Linked DNA regions of Schizosaccharomyces pombe. The gene in region 2 interacts genetically with the main gene of each other region. Each region holds a gene or a part of one and is shown on either strand. Other genes may lie near its edges. The genes, in order: xap5, SPOM_SPBC215.11C and ksg1.

Evidence for each region.
Region 1: mutations in SPOM_SPBC215.11C (region 2) and xap5 together harm fitness more than expected from each alone (negative genetic interaction), as found in Schizosaccharomyces pombe (one large-scale study listed by BioGRID).
Region 3: mutations in SPOM_SPBC215.11C (region 2) and ksg1 together harm fitness more than expected from each alone (negative genetic interaction), as found in Schizosaccharomyces pombe (one large-scale study listed by BioGRID).

The regions. Positions count from the first base shown.
Region 1 is NC_003421.2:751,616-758,953, reverse strand, and holds xap5 (splicing factor, xap-5-like protein), read right to left. Parts: upstream 3,703-7,338; 5' UTR 3,698-3,702; coding exon 3,549-3,697; exon of another isoform or gene 3,486-3,548; coding exon 2,768-3,485; 3' UTR 2,664-2,767; downstream 1-2,663. Other genes in the region: serine/threonine protein kinase Oca2, read left to right, coding at 1-53; protein Emc6, read right to left, coding at 1,093-1,103, 1,193-1,448, 1,530-1,589; SPOM_SPCC1020.13C (DDHD family phospholipase), read right to left, coding at 4,323-4,819, 4,861-5,601, 5,665-6,229, 6,274-6,480.
Region 2 is NC_003423.3:4,048,266-4,055,422, reverse strand, and holds SPOM_SPBC215.11C (aldo/keto reductase family protein), read left to right. Parts: upstream 1-3,981; 5' UTR 3,982-4,040; coding exon 4,041-4,961; 3' UTR 4,962-5,063; downstream 5,064-7,157. Other genes in the region: GTPase Cwf10, read right to left, coding at 1-1,943, 2,003-2,354, 2,393-2,752, 2,797-2,822; odr1 (haloacid dehalogenase-like hydrolase ), read right to left, coding at 5,336-6,244.
Region 3 is NC_003421.2:2,101,064-2,109,336, forward strand, and holds ksg1 (serine/threonine protein kinase Ksg1), read right to left. Parts: upstream 5,228-8,273; 5' UTR 5,196-5,227; coding exon 4,623-5,195; intron 4,514-4,622; coding exon 3,308-4,513; 3' UTR 2,875-3,307; downstream 1-2,874. Other genes in the region: FANCM-MHF complex subunit Mhf2 , read right to left, coding at 369-489, 532-680; Swr1 complex subunit Swc5, read left to right, coding at 690-1,337; diphthine synthase Dph5, read left to right, coding at 1,524-1,783, 2,069-2,298, 2,342-2,473, 2,522-2,751. UniProt on the Schizosaccharomyces pombe protein: Involved in the control of sexual development and cell growth under stressed conditions. Phosphorylates AGC kinase gad8 at 'Thr-387', activating gad8 kinase activity and promoting sexual development.

The DNA.
Region 1 (7,338 bases), on a different chromosome or scaffold from region 2:
TCCATAATTTGGTGGCTTCAGAAGAGTCACCTGCTCCACCTGCAAAGCATTAAAAACTTATATTGTCTTTCCCACGTTTGTTTACAAAGTCGCCTTGGATATTGGTGATCTGTTAAACGATACCAAAAAATGAATAATGTGGTGGCTTGTTAATGAGCTAATCTCTTAATCGTTGACGGTGTAACTTAGTTTTCTTTTCAGACTTTTTTTATGTTAAAAAATACTTTATTCTTTGATTATTAGGGACATTTCAATTTCTTACTATAATCTCCTCTATTTAATAGTCAGTCCCTTTTTTATCAGCTCAACTTTATGATTGTTGGTGATTTTTTTTTTCTTTCTTTGGTTATTATATTATTATTATTGTCTTTGTGAGGTTAGCTTGTTTATGAGTTATTTATATGGTAAATAGGGGAAATCTACTGTGGTAGATTAAAAATATCTCTACAATTTTGAAAATAAATGTAAAATTGTCGCATCTTTGAATTTGGTTTTCATTTTTTAGTAAGTTTAGATAATACAATACAATTCATTAGTCTCAAAATTTTCAAAGATCGTGTTTGAATATGATATTTTGTCCTTTTCAACCGTTGTCAAAGTTGTTGCAAATATTGAATATATGCAGTGTTTACTTCAACTGTATAATAATGGTAAAACACGTGTTCAAAAAATAAATGCCTAGGCATCCATGTGCCCTGAAGCAGCTAGTTTTTAAGCACTAGAGACAATTTCTTAAAGAAGTAGAACATATCTCATGCAAAGTTTTCGAAATCAAATTTAAGGAAGACGACATGAATACAACGGAATGTGTGTGCTATGTTCTAGCATCGCTGACAGGACAAATATATTTTAAACAAATATCCTATTTTCTATAGGAAAAGTAAAGAAATGTAAAAAAACAGTTAGATTTGTGTTTTATTAGGAAATACAAAATATTTATAGGATGGGTTCACGAACAAAAGGAAGAGATCCACTTTTTTCTCAAACAATAGATCTTAATGAGGTATATGTGTTATTAACGAAAGGGCTGAACAAGAATAAGGAGGGTTCATCTTGGATTAATTGCCAAATGCATAAATCAAATTAAACACATTACTCATAAACTAATGACTTAGTTAGCGTGTAATTGTTTCAATGCGAGATCTGACTATTCAAACAAAATAAAATAGCAACGATCGAGCAAGTTTCTTACCATATACTAAACTGTAGAACAATGTCCAAGTTAAAACATAAGAAGGTGCGCCATCTAATATTTTAGCGATCCAAAACTTATATCCGGGCTGGTAATACTTAGTTAAGTTACCACGCATTTTCAATGCAAAGAGTAGAAAGGAGACGAAGAAGTAACCGAGTACATACAGAGCAAGCCCTTCATATGAAGTTAAACCCAAAATACCAGCTGCGCACCCGAAAAAACTAGAAGTCAAGTTTCGAACAAAAGAAACGACCTTTGGATTCATTAGCACTCAATTATAAAATCCTTAAAAAAACTAGTACCAAGAAAATCTAGCTCTGCAATCATTTCTTACCTGTTCATTATATGCAACATTTTCTACAACAATTGGAGCGACGCCTTTATCCCTTTCCATATTAGCTTATGAACAATTCTGATGTTTAGTTGAGTTCACCGCTTGTAGAATTATAACCAAAAAATGATGGATAACGCATCTTTATACTGCGGTATTAACTACATAAGGACTTAGTAGGAACGTAATTTTTTCGCAGCTTGACGTATCCTTAAAAGCATTTTGCAAACTGCGTAATTGCCAATCTTTCATGTAAAGCTACAAGCGATATGGATATGGGAAAAAGCATTACTTTTTGCTTGGGCTGAATGTTGGCTAGTTTGGAGGGTGAAATAGTTTATTCAATACAATTGAGTACTTTATTTTTTTCCATTTGATTTTTTTGAACAGAAATGGGCTAATTACTAGGATATTGGGAAATCGCATTGTTTAAAAGAGGTTCTCGTTTTACATCAAGGTCGATTTTTCATATTTATTTGTTTTAGAAAAAAGTATCATCTTATATTTCCTGTATTACTGGTTTTCTAATTCTAAAACTTGAAAATGGTGGATGAAACGTTACATACTAGATTGTTTACAGTATACCGAAAGGATTAGAGACTCGTGAACATTCGTAAAAGCGACATGCTTATACTTCCAAGAGAACGAAAAGCGAATTTCATTTCTTATTTACAATAGAATAGTTATTCTCATCATTCAGTCACGATCACTTTTTTCTTTACCAAAAATTGTATACCTAAATAGCACAGTATAATCCACCGCAAATTAACGTATCGTTAATATGTTTATGATCAAATACTATGTATTTGCATACCAACGCTGCGATACATTAAATAAAAACAAGCAGAAATATGAGAATTCAATAATAAAGGAAACATTTAATAATTCCAAAAGCGAATTGCTAATTTTTTAATTACTTTATTTTACAATATCCTATAGCACATCAATGAAATCAAGGTTTTCAGTCAAGGTTGGAGTGATGTTGAGAGTAGTAAGTGTAAATACTAAAACCCATTGCGAATACTTAGTGGATAATATCTGTTTCTTTTTTACCAAAGTCTCTCTCTTTGTATAGCTTATCAAGTTATATGTTTGGCGCAATTCATTTGTTTAAAATACAAACATAAAAACAATATAGTTGTAATGAAATTGTTATTAAATTAGTCGATGAGGGAAGTATGAGTATGCAAAACAAAAATAAAGAACCAAGAGAAAAAAAATCGAAAACTTTTTAAAAGGCATTATGAGGGCCGGTAAAATAATGCAGCGTTAGGATCAGTTGCATGCTTTTCCAATGAATAATCTTTTCGAGAATCAAAGACTTCCCAATGCACACATGGAAACACATGGCGATTTTGTAAATAATATGATTTTTGAACTAGATGAGGAATGCATTGAGAAGGAAGTTGTGTAGTTGCAACCATTTCTGGACTAGAGCATGACAGCTTATCAAAGTCAAATAAAAGTCCATCACGTCCTTGAACTTTATTAATGTAAAAGTAGTAAAGCTCATGGTGATGGGGAATGATTAAATCAGATTGAACCAGTAAAAATTTATCCATATCCAGAATCCTCTTCAAAAATGGGATTTGCTGTTTCATATCAGCAAGAAAGTGTCCAACCGAATCTTTCAATCTAGTCCTTACATGATAAGTGGTACTTGTTCCATCGTAATAGATAAATGGTATCAAAATCTCTTTTTCCCGAATTTGCTCCTGCTCTTTTAGCCATTGTTTGCGATATTCGGCTCGCTTCGCGTTTTCACGTATTTCTCGCTCTGCATCTGGCAAAAAGGAGGTATCCGCAGATGGATCCTTTCCCATAAACATTTTTTTCTCAACTTTTTTTAAAGGTAGATCATCATTCTCCAGTTCTTCATCTTCACCAAAAGAAAGTTTTCCTTTGTTAACTTTAATGCCCTGTTTGACCTTTTTGCTTAAAGCATCTTTTCTCTTTTTTCTAAAATTGAATTGTCAGTCATATTTAGAATACTATCGGGCTTTTCTCGTTCTTTTCACTTACATTTTAGTACTTGTGGTTGATAGCGCATGTTTCTCTCGTTTTTCAACGATGTTTTGTTTTACTCTTTGATAATCCTTTAAATGGACTAAACCAGTCGTACTATTTCGTAAAATCTCATGAATTTCATCGGCATCAGTATGGCCGCTCATTGTATGAAGAATTCAAAAAAACGTGAGTGGTGAGCGTTCTTCCAAATAAGCTTGAATACCCAAAATACCCTTTTTTTGCCTCGGTTTTCAAATCTCAAAATGAAAGAAATGACTATTACTATATTTATCGTAGAAGAAGAACATGTTTTTTACATTTACCTATGAGGGATCCTAGAATAAACGCACACTTTGCCAAAGTCACGTTGCATATAAGTTTTTTATATTTGTCAAAACGGTTATTAAATAGAATAACAACGAGGTGGGGCACTTTGAAGCATTCTGTAATCTTTAACTGCTTGTATAGACACTTTTTAAAACCAATCTAGAGACAAATAAAACGAATTACTCGTTTGTATTAACAAGCTTTGGAAAAATAGCAATAGATTAAAAACAAAAAAAAAACTAGCTAATCACTAGTGTTGCTATAAATACTCTAATAAATTTTCGTATCTGGTCATTGAATGCAAAACCATCTTTCGAATGCCAATATATAAAGTCATTAAAGTGATCCTAAAAAATCATCATTATCCAATGTTCATCAAATTCATTTTAATTTGTCCACTTCGCATCGCTAATAAATATGAAGCTCGCTGGTATACTGTCAGATAAAATAAAAAGAAAATTTTCAAGAGCTGTCCCCTTTGAATATACGTGGCATATGCTTTCCACGAAATTGCTCAATTGAATTGGCAATACCAAAGTTTCGGCCAGTTTCCACTACTAAAAAGCAAGCAAGATCCTCACTACTCCAGTAACTGCTATGAGCCGAAAGCATAGAAAGATATTTGTTTGAAATGACCCCATGGGCACTCGTAAATACGTAGTCCAACTGAGAGTTTTCATTCAACTCTTGCATGCGCCACTTGGCCCTTTCTTCTCTGCGAAAATTGCGAGTCTCTAACTCGACAGTCTGTTCAGGCTCCAGTGGGACCACTGCTGTGGGCTCATTGTTTTTATTTTGCTGCAAAGATTGATTGTAACTTCGAAGTTCCACAGGATCAGTATTAGAATGTGAGATCATTCTCAAAATACTTGAAGATTTTCTTGTGAACAGTATACGAGTTGGGTGGATGCCTTTCGAAAATGAGAGATCCACTGTGGGATTTAATCGCATCGCAACGGCTAATTTGTTAGTAAATACGATAATTTAATGATGCGCTTACGATCAAGGTGATTATAGATGTTATAAAAAGAGTCGACTGCGAGACATCCGTACCGATCATAACCATCGTAAGTATATGACTTTGGAACATCAGAATTTATAAAGTTTTTATTTATTTCGTATCTTGATGAGCCTCTTCCACGACGAGGAATAATACTTTGTTGATTCAAATGCAAAAAAAAACCTACCGGACCACCAAAACAAAAAAAACCGTTTGTGTCGAATATAAAGCAGCTTTCATCATCGTCTATAGTAATTTCTTTGACAAAAGTGGGTTGAAGTGACAAAATATCAAAAACAACTGTGGAGCCCAAAGAATGCCCAATTATAAAGATACGGCCCTTGTTTTCTAAAAAGTAAGGATTGCAGTCCTTCCACAAATGGTAAACCCTATTAGCTTCACGAATTACAGACTTTATAATGGATTCTTTGTGATGAGACATATAATAGGGAATATCACTCATCACATCTCCTAATAACCTTCGCACCGCTGGAATGCTATCAATTTCAATATCCTCAATTGAAAATCGATTTTCTTCAAATTCTTCATCCTCAACCCGTCCTTCATCACCGGCAACTGGCTTTATATATGAATTAAAATTAAGCTTATTTCTCCAACATATCGGAAGAAGTTGTGGTTCATAATCGTTTCGAATCAACGGATCCTCTTTCATTATGTTTTTCTGAATTTGGATCAATGAACGAAAAACGTTGCACGTCTTGGTAAATAAGAATCGTTCCTCTATATTGTCAACATTAGTAATTGAATGCCGGTGTAAGATAAAAAAAAATCAAGTTTACTTACCAGTCTCTGATCTTTTTTGACCGATACCATGAACCACCAAAAAAAGATCTGTAACTTGTTTAGGTCCATTAAAACCATCATCTTCAAAGTAAGGAAAATCTCGAACGACCGGCATACCTTTAATACTGGTCCTTCGAGATTGAGTCCCTTTTGAAAAATAGGATAACAAACCTCCTTGACAAATGAGTGCTCTATATCCGTCTTCGTAAAATACATATTTGCCAGAGGAGGTAGGTTTAAGAGGCCATTGCATCGCATCAATTAATTCCTTAGAGGACTTGTTACGTTTATGAGACAATACAGAAGGATCATCTTGAGAATCCTTCCCTTCTTCTTCTTCTTTTAAAACATTATCCCAGTTAACGGCGTATGGCTTCACTTCCTGGTAGCCCTCTTCTAACATATCCGACAATTCATTGATTACAGGAAGACCCGTATCTTCGTACATCCAAAGACCGCGAACGACTCGTAAGGTATCATTTTTACTGGCACTTGGCCAGTATAGAGGCTTTAAAGTAAGAGTAGGTAAGTTTACCACATGAAGCCCAGAAATTCCAACAATGACCTGCTCGTTAGTTAAGCTCACATATAGATTAAAAAATTAGTTACATTCTTCTGATTTGGCTCTTGAGACACCTCCTCTGTAATAATTTCATTGTATTTTGCTTCTAAAGCGTTATTATCGTAGTTCAAAAACCGCCTCCAGGACTGCGCCCCAGTCAACTCCATAGAAGAAGTCTCATCGTAGAGGTCGTAATTGGATAGGTAAAACCACTGAACATAGTGCACAGGCTCCTCCTGGGATGATTCTTGCATATATCTCGGTGTTGGGGGTCGCGTTCTGTTTGATCAAAATGTAAACAGTTCTACAAAGAATAGCGTACCACTTAAATCAAAATTGCAGAATCAACCGATTTTGATAAAACGAGATTCGCAAAAATTTTGAAGCTCCTTAAAGAGTTCTGTCAGTTTCAGTATGTTTCTCCTAAAAGTAGAAACGACAAAAATATATTACAAAGCTTAAGTCAATTTAACGATTTTTGTGAACTTGTAAAGATGCTTACCGTGTTTATTTAATTGTTTACAATATGATATGAGTTTTTGTGAAATCAAATTTATATATAATGGATAAAGGTGATCGCATCTAACATTCTTGGTTTACGAGTTATACACACTTATATATAAATATATATTTTTTTTTGTCGAAACGCAACTTTCAATCCTGCCTTAATTATCACTTTACACAATTAATTCTGTGCTAAAATTTTATAAGATTAATAGGAGTAAACGTGGGTGCATTTATAGAGCCTTTATCTCTGCTGTCTATAGTTTGTTTGATTCATACATAGATTTACCCAAATTCATAGGTGTAAATGTCCAAAAATAATTGTAATCCTTGCAATACGCCTTATCACTTATATGTTTTCATATTACTTTGAAGATAGTTTTGCACTTTGTAAAAAATATACTGGAAAAGATCTAGCGATGTATATTCCCATTTAAACAACTCTTTTATTCTATCGGTTGAAAATACCATCTCTTTTATGACGCTTAGTCAAAGTGAAGCCAATTATTAAAAAAATAAATATGAATTAAGAAAATAATATATATTCCTACAAAAACCCCAATCTCACATCTAAACATTAGGAAAATGTGATTTGATTAGTACGCATT
Region 2 (7,157 bases):
GAATCAATGACTGGAATAAGTGCTCTCACCAAATATAATGGGGAACCTGGCCGAGGGATATCTTGGAGGACATGACCACGACGACGCGTTAATAAATCATAAATAATAGGAAGACTGTCAGCGGGGGCATGTACTTCAACCATATACACTGGTTCCATTAGCCGTGGAGACGCTGTTAAAAAAGAAGAATAACACACTCTCCTTGCGGTTGGAATAATTTGACCACCTCCTCGATAAATTTGTTCAGGTGCAAGCACTACATCCATCAGGCGAAAATTCACGTTTCGGATTGTCTCATCACATAGAGGACCTTCCCTAGTCCCCCATTGAAAACCTTGTTTAATGTATTCTTTTACGCTATTAAGCACGTTTTTATCAACATCTGTACTAAGAGTATCATCCCGCAATATATTCGTACCACGATCATCGGGACCAAAAGCCCAGATGGAACGTGAAGCTAGTAAGTCCCAATCGTAGTTCTTTTGGAAAAATTCGCTGATTCTTTTTTGAGGCCAATTGATATTAACTTTTCCATTTTCAATGTCATTAGAAATTCCTTTCTCCAATGGCTCAACTACCATTGTGATACGATTTTTTTTATTTGGAGTATCTGAAAAACACTTGATACTTGATGTGTCCACCGCAGTCTCACAGAAACGAGCAACTGGATCGGAAACTCTGATTTCGATTTCAGAGTATAAAGTCCGAAGATCATAAAGTAGACAATCCATATACATCTCACCAGTACCGAAAATAGTATGTTCCCCAGATTCTTCTACTTTTGTGATAGATAGTGGGTAGCTTTTGTTTGTTTTTCGTAGGCCATCAAGTAGTTTTGGTAATTCTGATGGATTGTGTGGCTCTACAGCCACCTTGAAAACACTCTCGGACATGTGAGCAATTGGCCTGAAAATGTAAGGATCATCTTTCAAATTGTCCGAAACGATGGTTGCTGTTTTGCTAATAGAGTTATCAACACCTCCTAAAAGAACTAGCATGCCGGCAACAGCTCCATCAACGTGAAGACGATATCGTGCGCAAGGTACACATATTTCAGCAATATGAGCAACCACCATATCCTCTTCGTCTTCTAAAGAATAATTTTCTCCAAGAACTTTAACTTTCTGACCCTTTTTAACCTGACCACTATATACACGAGCAAATGCATAAAAATTATTAGCATCGACGGTGTTGTAAAGTTTAGTAACATGCATGACTAATGGTGCTGATTCCTCACGACTCATTTCTAAGATAGCCTTGCCGATACTAGAGTTTATAGGCCCAATATATGATTGAGAGGCTTTACGAGCGGCATTTTCTCGAGGCGATGGAATATGTCTAGTAACTGCATTCACAAAACCAACGGGGAATCCAAAAAACGATGCGCAAATTAGTTGCAAGAGTGGTTTAGGATCTAATAAATAATCCTTGGGTTTTAAATAAATTTGGAAAGAAGATAAGTGTTTTTTGAGTTTTTCGGCTTCGTCAGAAATAGTAAGGGTATGTAATTTATACAACGGTTCTAATATGAAATGGACAAAGCTTCTAACGCCAGAGCCATCCAAGGACTGTTTGGCAAATTTTCTGGTTTTCGAATCGAAATAAATATCCCCCCACAATCTTTTAGAAAATAAGTCCACGTCGATACCTCCATGTCTATCTATATAGAGTTTTGCGAAACTAGACAATGTAAAACAATATCCAAGATCACATGAAGCAAAACAAACGTTCCCTAACTCAGGAGAAACGCGATATTTCAAATCTTTACTAATCTGGCAAATGTTATCGTTTACTTCGTCGATAACGTGTCGAAGTTTATGGTAAGCATCATTCGGAGGGAGACGTAGCTCAAGGATTAACCTATCAACTTTGTTCAAGACGAGCACAATTGGCATATCGTGAAGAATCGCATGTTTGATAATTCTAGTGGTGTTAATCATCACCTAAAGCATGTTAGAATCTTTATATCTTCAAAACGCAAGAAAAGGCCAGAATAACTTACACCTTCAATAACATCAACGACTAATACAACACCATCACTTATGGCCATAGGAGCAGCGACTTCATCAACAAAATCGACATGACCAGGCGTATCGATGCACTGAAATGCAAACGTCTTACCCTTCATATCAGAAACTGCGAGCGTAAGTGGAGTACTTTTTATAGACATCACACGTTCTCTTTCAAGATAATGAGTGTCGGTATATCGAAGTGAACGCCTTTTTGGCGGCTTGGTGTCAGGATGGGTATAATAAACGAGTAAATCTAATAAAGCGCTTTTGCCGTGATGCAGATGGCCAGCAACAATAAAAGATCTAACGTCATCTGTCCCAGTTAAGAGACCGAAGAGGAACCTTAAAAAGTTAGAAAAGACATTGTTACACATACTTACTCTTTCTTGTATACAGTATCTGGGACGTTTGTTGTTTCTATAGCAATCCTTTTGTGACGAATTGGCTCAATAATGGGCTGGCTTAAGGGTTGAGTATCCTGTTCCTGAACCATGATATCCACGTTGGACCCATATACCTCTTCAGCGCTAGGATAATATTGTTTATCCTCGTGAAGAACAACGGCATTCTGAGGCTCTAGATGACTCAACGCCATTTCCTCGGCCCTTTCAACGTCTTCTAATTCTTCATCAGGAATGACCTCTTCAAAGGATGGTACCTGTGCAATTGTAGGGCTAGGAGCCTGAGGAAACAGCTCCTCTTCATCTTCTTCATTTTCAGGGCCTATGTAATTTCCAAACCTGGCGAGTTAGAAATAACTATAAAATGTTTTTAGACCACTTACTCATCATATAAATCCTCTTCCATCATCAGTTACTGCCAAGTACCCACAATGCACAACTTTTGGTAATTACCAAATTTGAAGTAAAGTGTAACCAAGTTTTCGAGCTTTAGCGCATTCATGTCTCAACTGCGATTTATATCTCGTTAAGCTTTGATAATGAGCTAGAGAAATCATTGTCTTTATACTCTCTAAACGAGATATGATCGGCTCAGTAACTTCCACTACACTCTTTAAGGTTGCCGAAGAACGACATCGTCTCATTTTGATAGAAAGGAATGAATCGTAATTATTGAAAACCAAATATACTTTTTTATTTACCAACTTCCTCCTTAAAAGTCGTACATGGGTGTAATTGAGACCTTAAAAGACTGGTTATGTCTACGATTTGAGCTACCGACCCATGTTTAGCAGCCAAATTTATAAGCTTTTCGAAGACAATAGTAAGAGTAAATAGCCATTGTAAAAGTGCGGTGCAAACATTTTTAGAGCGCAAGTTTTGCAACTGTACAAAGTATTTAGTGTGTTTATAAAACACACAACAAATTGCTGAATGTCAATAACACTAATAATATACTGGCATCATCAACTAAATTCAAAAAATGTGTTTCCTTTCAAATACAGTCCTAGAATTGTTATTATGTGCAATGTTTACCTCGATTTACGGAACTGGTCAACCCATTTGTGGTCTCCAAATGATAACTCGTAGTACGATTTGATAGCACGATCAAGCATAATTCAAGAAGATGGAAAATATAAATCCACATTATCTTGAATAGAAAGAAACATAGCAATAAAGATCATTATCGTTATGTGCGACCATCGTTGCTCATGAATAAAAATGGGCTGGCAAAAGAAGACAGAGATACAGTTTAGACAATTCATCCAGCATCAGATTTTGGAACCATAAAATTATCATTAAATTGAATAAGAGCCAAATCAAAAAGGACTTAGCTATTTACTCTAATTCAAAATCCAACCAGCAATATCGTACTATAATAGTATTAGTCATCGTTATGACAATATATTGTCTAACGCGCTCTTACATCATACCACTGGATTCTGTAAATAGGGTATGTAATAAATCAGTTTTCGTGGTTTAAGATAGTCCGCATCAATCCAGCTTATGTAAGGAATACACCATGTAAAATTACTATAAAAGGAAACGGCGTCTGACATCCCACACTTACCGGATCCACTATAGTACTTGATCTTGATTTCTAAGAAAAGCGACAAAAGACACAAAAATGAGTAAAACTGCAGCTTCTTCCGCCGTAGATGCTTCACAAGCTGGGACTGTCAAGGTTGGCGACATGGTTGTCAATAGAATGGGATTCGGAGCAATGAGAGTTACCGGTGATGGTATATGGGATGAACCCAAAGACAAAGAGGCTTGCATCGCAACTTTAAAACGTTTGCCTGAACTCAATATTAACTTTATTGATACCGCCGATTCTTACGGCCCTGAGGTCAGCGAGAATCTTTTACGAGAAGCTTTATACCCTTACAAAGGACTTATAATTGCTACCAAGGGTGGCCTTGTTCGTACAGGTCCAAATGAATGGCATCCTTGTGGAGCACCCAAATTTTTACGTCAAGAAGTACTTATGAGCATGCGTCGACTTGGAGTTAAGCAAATTGACCTCTGGCAACTACATCGCATCGATCCCAAGGTTCCTCGCAAAGACCAATTTTCTGAAATTGCAGCTATGAAGAAAGAAGGATTGATTCGCCATGTTGGATTGAGTGAGGTTACAGTAGACGATATCAAAGAAGCTGAACAGTATTTTCCGGTAGTTAGTGTTCAGAACTTATTCAACCTTGTCAATCGTAAGAATGAGAAAGTGTTAGAATATTGTGAACAGAAGGGAATTGCGTTTATTCCTTGGTATCCCTTAGCTTCAGGAGCATTAGCCAAACCCGGAACCATCCTGGACGCTGTTTCAAAAGACCTTGATCGTTCCACTAGTCAAATAGCTTTGAGTTGGGTTTTACAACGCAGTCCGGTTATGCTACCTATTCCTGGTACTAGCAAAGTAGATCATCTCGAAGAAAACGTCAAGGCCGCTGGAATCCAATTATCTTCTGAGGTGTTTGCCAAATTGGATGAGGAGGGTAAAAGCGAAGATGCTAAGCGTCAAGAAGAGGAGAAGAAAAAGTCTTCTTAGATTTCTCTTTTTCTTTCTATGGAAACTTACTAATGCCACGATGTTTGGAATTTCCATATGTTGATAATGTTATAAAATGATCTCATGATTAAATTAAAAGCATCTTTTTGTATTGATTTTTCATATTCCTCGTAAGGTCTACAAGGCACTGTTTAAGAGAAAGCAGTTTTTAACATGCTAAAGTAAAAATACACGGCATTCACAGAAAAATAGTTATACCCGCGGCTACGTAAATAAAGAAGTTTACGAATGCTTATATATAATATGTATTGTAATTTTCGTTATTTTGATATTTATTATTGTATGGGAATTAGATATTGAATTTTTTTTGTTATAATTTAAACAGGAAAAAGATACTATATAGGTTGTTAAATTTAATTAAAATCAGGAGGGATATTATAAATTCGTTCCAACACTTCACCAACGGCACCTTCAGCACTTGAAACGTCGGAAATTGCCTTGGCTGCCTTTAAGGCGACAGGCATTCCACTACGAATGGCTACGGAATAGCCTGCCAATTCAAACATGCAAACATCATTTGCTCCGTCACCAAAAGCTAGGACGTTTTCCAAGCTAATGGATGGATAAATCTTTGAAAGAATATTCTTGAGCGCAACCCCTTTGTTATCATTGGGAGGAATTATTTCAAAAGTCTGGGGAAGCGCTTGGGTAAGAGCAACTTCATCCGAAGGAATGCCAGCCAGTCGCTTTTTGGCTTCTTCAAGGCCGTTAGTATCATCATCAAAAACTACCATTTTATTGAAGATGTCTTTCGGGCCCTTAAGCTGAGGGAGCATTTCATTGGCGTCGTCCTTTACTGTTTCCCCACAGAGTCGCAAAAACTTAATACCATGTTGTTTTTTATCCGATTCCTGTTTAATTTGGTAAACGTAATCTTCATCGTAACCGAAAAGTGCACACGTTTGGATGTCTTTGAGCTTATCAATAATATCGATGGCTAAAGAGTTTTTAAGAGCTGCGCAAGCAACGATTTCACCTTTATCGTAAACTACGCAGCCGTTAAGGTGAACACAAGGAAAGACATGTAAACCTAACGCTTCTCTGATATTACCTACGGATGTTCGCTGTCTACCAGTAGCTAACACAAAAGGTAGCTGAGGATAATTTTCACGAAGATACTTTAAAGCACGAAGGTTTCGCGGATGTGGCTTATGATCCGGTCCCAGCAAAGTACCATCAACATCACAGATAATGAGTTGAATATCCTCCGGTTTAGGTAAGACGTTTTTCTTTTGATTAATGTCAATTTCTTTAGACGGCATCTTTCTTTTTTGTATGAGATTTTTAATCAAAACACTGTTAACGTCCAATTTACCTGTCTATGATAAACAATTGATCAATTTATTTAAAAATCAAAGTAACTGTTTTCACAAATACCCACAATGATCTATCGTATTTGTATTTATAGCCCGAAAGATGACACAGATACAATATAACTTGCTGACTAATATTGCTGTATTGAAGAAGCGTACCTGTCGTTCACAGCTGAGGTGATCCCTTTGGTTTGTGAATACAAAGGTTGTGGGGTGTTTAAATAACTTTAAGTAGCATTCCCCACTTTTGGGATGACAAAAGCATGTTGAATGCCGGACCTTCGGTAGTCAAGATCTCGATCCCACTCCGGCGCGTTATTAAAACAGAAAGAGATATTGTACGGCAAGACGAGTATGGAGGGTTTGTAAAATGAAGGGTATGCGTTTGTAGTGAGAAGGAAAGAAGAGCAAACAGCTGTTTGAATAAACATGTAAACAAAAAATGCAAAAAATTATTTAGACAACAAGTTAACGCTAGCTTTGTTCAAAAAAAGATGGAGAGATTATTTAATTTTCCTTTCTTTATTTTCTTTGAAATTTTTTCATTAGGATTTTTATTATACATTTTTCTGCTACGTGAAATTCTGTAGCTCAAACTGTGGGAAGTTCTTTGACATTAGTACAACTATACTTTTGGGACCTTGAGCCCAGAGCAGTTGCCTTTCGCTACACTTACAGTTTCACCAGAACAGAGACTACACAGGAACTAATTCACCGTCGTATAGACATTGTAAGACTCCTTATTAAACTTCTAACTAGCGATGTCCTTATGTAGAAATTAATTATGAGCTGGAAATGAGCTGGAAAAATAAAAGTAAACAAAGAAAAAGGTAATAATATTTAGTTGGATCTATCAATTTAT
Region 3 (8,273 bases), on a different chromosome or scaffold from region 2:
AAATGTACAGGTTTCAAAAATTATAGTTTAGGACCGGAGTTTGTCAAAGTAAAGTTGTTTATCCTAGCCTAGACAAGAAAGTTAGGAAATCATAAAGGCAACAAAATCCAACACCAATTCAATTGGAAAAAAAAAGGTAAAAGATTAATCTGGAAAAATATTTTAAAAAACATTACAAAAAAGATAATATAACTTCCATAAACTGGTTAATTGACGCTCGAGTGTTTTGAGTTTTTTTATAACAAATCCCCCACAAGTCTTATTTAATTAAACAACTGAAAATTAAAACGTTGCTTATCACATACTGTTTCAATAACATTTCGTTCTATCACAAAGCTTTATTAAAAACGTCTCCATTTAGTATCAGCCTAACTAAAGTCAAGGGCTAGTTGAGCTGCGATGCCATTTTCCAAATCTTCTAATTCTAAAACAATATCTTCATTTTCAGAAGATGACATGATAGAGTTCTTTTTCTCTTCATAAGCTCGACTAAACGAATAATTAGCACATAAGTAATACAAAAGCCCTTACCAAACTGCCTCTTTTGAATAAATCCTTAAGTATTGAGTAATTAATTCTAAAGCACTTGGAGTAATTTTGGTTCCCTTTTCTGAACTGAAATACAAGGTCAGAATGCGTGCCAACGTATTGAGGGACAGCAGTTCGCTTTCCTGCTCCATTACACTTCAATGACAGAGAAATTAATTGATTTCGGCCTTGAACAAGAGGAGGAGGATACGGAATTTGTCCCAGGTGACAGTACGGATACGGAGTCGTCGTTTTCTGATGCTGATTCAAGTGAGGAGGAGTTCGTAGAGGAAAAAGAAGCCTCGCAAGTTCAAAGTACTAAATCAAAAATTGCAACCAGTGAATCTGAAGATGTTACTCTTAAAAATATAGCAAAAAAAAATAAAAGAGAAAGAAATGATAAATTAATCCCTCAACAATCAAATGAATCCGAGGCAATTGAGAAACCGGTACAGTCTACAACCGAAGTGGAACTGAAGACTAATGAACTTGCAGAATCGAATTCCTCAGTTGCCGTAGAAGGGGATGAAAATTCCTATGCTGAAACACCTAAGAAGAAACACTCATTGATAAGGAAACGCCGTAAATCTCCACTTGATAGCTCGTCAGCCCAAAAGGTTTTAAAGAAAAACAAGCTAAACACTCTTGAACAAGCACAGCAAAATTGGTCAAAGTATATTAAGGAACAGGATATTCAAGATGAGCTTCGGATCGCCAATAAAGATGGTTATGTCGAGCGCCAGGAATTCTTAGCAAAAACCCGTGCTGCACATGAAGAAAAAATTCGAGAGATGAAAAAGTTGCCGTAACAAAATGGTTTAAAACTTAAAACTAGTATTTTTTTTAATGAAGAACCCCTTTTGTCTAAGACACCAGCCGGCAGCATTGAACGAGTCCATGTCGATTTTGCGTTTCTTCAACTACTTCACCTCCTCCAAGCCAGGAAGTCGTTGTCTTTCTAAAACTTCATTTGAAAATATCCAGATATTATTTAAATGTTTTATTTAATTGGATTAGGATTATTTGATGAAAAGGATATTACCTTAAGAGGCCTAGAAACAGTAAAAAAATGTCAGCGTATATATCTTGAGGCATATACGTCCATTTTGCTCGTTCAGAAGGAAAAATTAGAAGAACTTTATGGTAAAGAGGTTATCCTTGCTGATCGTGAAATGGTAGAGAGCAGTAGTGATGAAATCTTGAAAGACGCTGACAATTGTGATGTTGCAATGCTTGTTGTTGGTGATCCGATGGGGTATGTTTACTTGAAAGTACATGTTCCTTTTATTTATCTTTTTTTTATTTACTTTGAGAAATTTGACTCAGCTGTTTATTACAGGCTTTTAGCCCTTACGACAGCATCTCTCAGTTATTAAAAAAGCTTTGGTTTTTGCGAATTGTCTCTTTAAAGAACATTCAGTTTGTCATCGAACCCTATGATCTGTAAAGATTTAATTGTAGTGAATACTAATGACTCTTTAATTTGAGAACCCGTGCTTTTAATAATCGTTTATTTTTTATTGTATTACTAATTGTTTAGAGCTACCACTCATGCTGATCTAGTTATAAGAGCTCGTGAGCTTAAGATTCCTGTTCGCATGATACACAATGCCTCCATTATGAACGCTATTGGTGCATGTGGTTTACAACTCTACAAGTTTGGTCAAACAGTCAGTCTTGTCTTCTTCGAAAACAATTACCGTCCTCAAAGTTTCTATGACCACATTAAAGAGAACGTTAGTTTGGGACTTCATACCTTAGTTTTGCTGGGTAAGTTAATAGATTATAGTAGTTGGTGTTCTGACAATAAAAGATATCAAGGTAAAGGAGCAAAGCTGGGAAAATCTTGCTCGAGGCAGGAAAGTATACGAACCTCCTCGCTATATGTCTGCTAGTTTGGCTGCTCAGCAGATGTTGGAAGTCGAAGAGGATCGTCAAGAAAATAGTACGTTCATTTTAAAATGTTTTTCTATTAATTGTTAACCACCCTTAGTATGCACACCAGACTCTTTATGTGTGGCTGTTGGAAGAATGGGTTCCGATGATCAAGTTATATTTGCAGGCACATTGCAAGAGTTAGCTGAGCATGATATAGGTCCTCCATTGCACAGCGTGGTTCTCGTCGGTAGAGATGTTCACGATTTAGAATTAGAATTTCTACGTGCGTACGCAGTCAATCTCGAGAACTTTGATCGTGTCGCAAAAACATACTTGGAGAAGTAATTCATTATTTATCATACTAGTAAATTGATGCTTGAAGTTTTTTTTTCTGATATTAAGCGAAACCTAATTTTTATGTACAAGTCATACTTGCATAATTAACTTAATCTGTAGATTAATCATAAATTGAGAGAATGTACAACTGGCTTTTGGGAATAATTTCTTTAAATTTTTTTACTACGTAGGTAGAGGTATATTAACTAGTAAACGGTGAAATGTTCTTGGATCGATAACTTTTACCATTTTAACATTTTAAGGCTAAGGTAAAAAATATAAAATAAATAGATCCATAATAAGAATAAGCAAATAAAATCAATTGACCGTTAATAACAAAATACAGAAATCATACGGCAATCTAATTTTGTAATCACACTGAAGGATCACGGATATAAAGATTTTTTTTCGAATTAAACAACGAACGTAAGAGAAAAACTTAAAAAGAATTTCTTGAAACATCAATAAGGTCGTAAGAAAATTAATGCAGAACAGAACAGAAAAAAGAGTGATAGAATAAAAAGTGAGGGGATGGATGGAAGTGTTCATAGACATAAAGGATAGATTAGACAGCACTTCTAGCAATGCTTCTTGAAAAGCTGGTAACAGAATGATTACCGAATGGAAGAGAAATAGAGCTAGCCTTATCTAGAAGCTCAACCCAAGCAGAAGCCGGTCCATTCGGGTCTTCAAACGACCAGGATTTTGTTGGAGTCTCAACTACCCAGCCATGTTCATTGTTTTTTACCATCCGACAACGCATGCCTACACTCTTAATAGGTATTTCTTCTTTAACTGTTTTTCGCCCTTCACCGTCCGAGGCAACACACAGGTATCGACCAAAATTTGTAAGTATAAAGGTCCGAGGTTTCCTTTTTCGAAAAAGACTGGAGAAAAAGCGAAAGGCATCATTTCCATTGATACCAGACATACTATAAACATTGAGGGTTCCAATTTTTGAGATTTTTTCATCGTCTTGAAGAATACTCGACCATTCCTTGTTTTCCTCCTCAAGGTTGGATTGACACGGCAATAGAGTGCCTCGGTTAAAAGTACCAACCGGAGAGGGTGCAGCATTGGTGGATGCTGAAACCATCGATGGAACACCAAGAGGCGAGGTCAAATCACCATTTTCGTGTTTGTTAGATGCATTAGGAACGGAAAGGCTGAGGACGCTAGTATGACCAAAAGGTTTAAGACGGGGAGGAGGAAGTTCCCAAAGGGTATTATCAAATTTGATACCATTAAAAAACGGATGCTGGTGTATTTCATCAACAGTTAAGCGATCTTTAGGATCTAGAACTAGCAGTTTTTTAATCAAATCAGAAGCGACATCTGATATGTCAGGTGGTATCTCATAACTCAAATGAAGAATACTTTGGAATGTCAAATATTCATTTCCTGCTACAAAAGGGGGTTTGCCAGCTAGCATTTGGAAAAGAATGCAACCAAACGCCCAAATATCGGAAGCCGTACCAGCAATTTTATCACTTAAAACTTCAGGAGATACATAACGAGCAGTTCCTACAAACGATCGAGAATGAGCCTGTGGTTTGTCAGCATGGTGTGTGTCTTCTTCATGACTGCCATGTGAAGAGTTTAATATTTTTGCTGAACCAAAGTCGGTAATTTTTGTACGCATATTATCATCCAGCAAAATATTTTCGGGCTTCAAGTCACGGTGAATCACTCCTCGTCCATGCATATAGTCTATTGAGTCAACGATAAGTGCAGCATAATATTGTGCACATATTTCGTTAAATCGTCCCAACTAAATTATGTGTAAGCAAAAAATAAAACATTTAATAAGAAAAAAGACAAGATTGTAATAATCAGTAAGCTATCCATCATCAAGCTGCATGAACATTATTTATACATACCTTATTGATATAATCCAACAGTTCACCATTTCGAGCAAGACTCAAAACAAAATACAAATTGTGAGCATCTTGGAAAGTATAAAATAGCTTAATAAATCCAGGATGCTTAGAGAGGATGCACAAAGCTTCTTTTTCAATGTTGACGTATTTTTCCTTTTTTTCCTTGATAATATGTCTTTTATCCAACACCTTAATAGCATATTCTCTTTTTGTTGAGTTTTCGGTAGCTGTTAATACAGTACTGTATGATCCTTCTCCAAGGATTTCGCCAAATTTAAAATCCGAAACTCGTTTTATGTTAGGAGTCGATGCACCGCTAGACGGATTTGGAGTAGAGATATGTGGGACTGCAGAGGGAATCTTCGGCGATGAATCGATCTGAGACGTTGACTCATTTGGTGTAGTATTTAAAGCATTAGACTGCGGGATGGCACTATTTTGCGTCTTTGGTAATGAAGCTCGGTTTAGTTTTTCACTTGATCCATGATCAAAACTAAGGTCGGATTCGCTTTGAGTATCATTTTCTGCATCTTCTGATGCTTCAGTTTCATTCGGATTGTGCGTATTTCGCATAACCAATATCTGGTGTGAAGAGAGTACTGGGTAGGTGAATCAGTGTCAGTAAACTACGAATTGACGGCAATGTCATCAAAAGAAAATTGCACATATTCGGTAAAATTAGTGCTTATAACTGCAAGTATACAACTATTGTACTATTGTTATATAAGATTTTGCTATCCGGGTTATGATTTGCATCGTTGTGAGTGCGAAAATTAATATTGCATGGACATTTTAGATAAACTAAATATTCATTCATTTGATTTAGATCATGCTTTTTTTAGTAACTATAAGTTTATTTATTTTTTTAAGGAGCCTAGAGAAGTAGTTCATCAAGGTAATGATTTATATTACTATGTGAATCAGCGCTGAGTATACACAGTCATACGCAAATTCTTAATGGAGTAGAGAAAATCATTACATAAAAGTAAAAAAATTGTCAAACCAAGTATTTTCGTCTTGGCTGGTTGAATAGCATTACCTTCGGGTGTGGAATTCAATATGATTTAATTTCAATAACTTAAAAGATCACTTAGGTTTTAATGAATAACTCAGTTTATATACGAAGAGCATTAGAAGCTTTTATACCAGAATCGTAGCTGAATATGCGGGAAACATATTTTACTTGAATTTCAACTTACCGTATCAATTTTACAGAGAGAGAAAATTATGCACCATTCAGTTTATAAATATGAATTATTTGTTCAGCACAGAATCAAAAATAAAGTGCCATTGTTTAGAATTGCATTTTCCACTACACCTAATAGGAACAAAGTGTGTTTGATTTGTTTCAATTTAGTGTTGTAAACAATTCATTTTGGAGATATAACATAAAGAAAAGGGTTGGTATGAATGCCAATATCTTGCTAGCGAATTCATATATTTTGCTTACGAACAAATCTTCATTAAAGGACAACCAACGCAAGATTTAACTGAAGGATACCATCTTTATTTTAACTATTCTATAAATCAATTTTTGAGCCTTTTTTTTCTGGGGTATATGCGTGAGAGAAAATGAAGTAATTACGATATAGTACATTAAATGAGTTTTTTGTCCGTCAATATCCTTTTTAAAAAATTAGTTAGTAAAATAAAGAATGATAATGAAGTTTTACAAAAAAAAATTTGTTTATTGAGTATTATCTGGGTGAAAAACAAAGAAAATATAAAATTATAACTGGAATTAAAGAAACAAGACGTTCACAAACATAAATTAGCAAATTCAGAAAAAATTAAAAAAATTTAATAATAATGACATTTTACTATCAGCCCCCTCTGTTTATTTAAAATATTATATTTTTGGAAGGCATGTATACCAAAATATTTAGTATCTAATTTTTAAGTTGTGATGTAATAAATCATATTCCTATAATACAACGATTAACTTAGATGATTTAATTTTCAAAAATTTTTCATATTCATTTTCATTCGCCTGGACGGATATGAAATATATAAACTCCATTTGTCAGAAGATTAAACCATGTGAAATTGTGAAGGTAGCGCATTTTACACTTATTGTGAAAGACTGGAAATTGGTTGTTTTCGTTTCCAAATTGCAATTTTGTTTTTGTTAAGCCACTGACCTTGAAACATAATAATATTCGTGTAACACACAAAAAGAATCTAAATTTGGTATCATAAGTCGCAAGTCATAATTAAACTATCAAAAAGATCGAGTAAATAAAAGTAGTCCAACTGTAACAAAAGGATATTTTCAAATGATGAAAACTAGAGAATTCGAAATCGTAAATAAATGAGGATGTTTCGAATGTTTTTAATTACAGCATTCGGTTATATCAACCTTATTTAAAGTTCGCTTAAGCAGTCATTAATTCAATATTTATGGTCTTTATCCTTAAAGCAACTTTTCAAAATTTTCAAATATATAATGATATATCCCTTTCGGATTTCGATTCTCTTTATGTATATAGTCTTCCTTTCAACCAGGTCACTTTTAAAGAAGCAAGTGGTACAAATACGGTTTCCTAACGATAACGCTGTTTAAAGCATAGGAAATGAAAGAAGTGTCGTTGTGCGGTTTTACTGTCAGCTACACACTTTATTATCTACTTTAACGATACGTAAATTGCATTAATTCTTACCTGTAATCTATTATATTATAGATGCAGATTAACGAGTTCTTTTATGTAAGTATTCTTATAAATGAGTTATCCTGTTACCTATCCACTAAAGGTAGCTTAAAGTTAAACTGAGGACTAAGCCTCAATAGGAGCCGTATCTATATACTACAATAACACGCGCTTTAGTAAACTATCAACGAGGTCTTTTTTAACGTTGTATCATAGATGATATGATGTGTAAATAAAACATGTGACATATAGTGATACGCAACGTAGTGTGCCATATCGTAGTGCAGTATTCCTGACACATGTTATTACTATAACAAACCATCGTTCTGAATATTTTATTATGCTATTCATTATTTTGTAAACATTAATTTTGTTTGAATTGAACCATTAAACAAAAAGAAAAAATGATAATTAAGCTTGATTCATTAAGAATCAAGATGAAGGAGAAATGAATGCAATAAACGACAATGAATTTGTAAATTTAACAAGGCGGAACAACGAGTTTTTCGATTTCATTAGTTGATTTTAAGTTGTCGTAAACAAGTTAAACCATTATTGTTTGTGACTTGAGTACCATTAAAAAAGACACATAATTAGACTCGCATACATAATAAATAAAGACTTCGGTCCTCAATGCACATTATCCAACATCGTAGAATGCATTGGTTGGCAATTTTTGATAACTGGAAGAATAAGTTAAGCATATATTCCATAAACTTATAAAGGAAGAGGATGATTAAAGAATGTTGGTGCTTATTTTTAAAAAAACGCCGCAGCTTCTCTGCGTTGATGATTTTCGTAAAGAGGTTTTCCAACTGTAGCGACAACTACATTAATAACGCAATTATACTTCGCTTTCAACTTCCATTTCCCCCAAGGGAATGTCATTATTATCGTTGGCACCTCTAATCGCATTTCCTATCCGCCCACTTGCATTTCCTATACCTTCTAATCAGGTAAGTAAAAAATAATTCATAGAGTTTTTTTGAATACACATACCTAA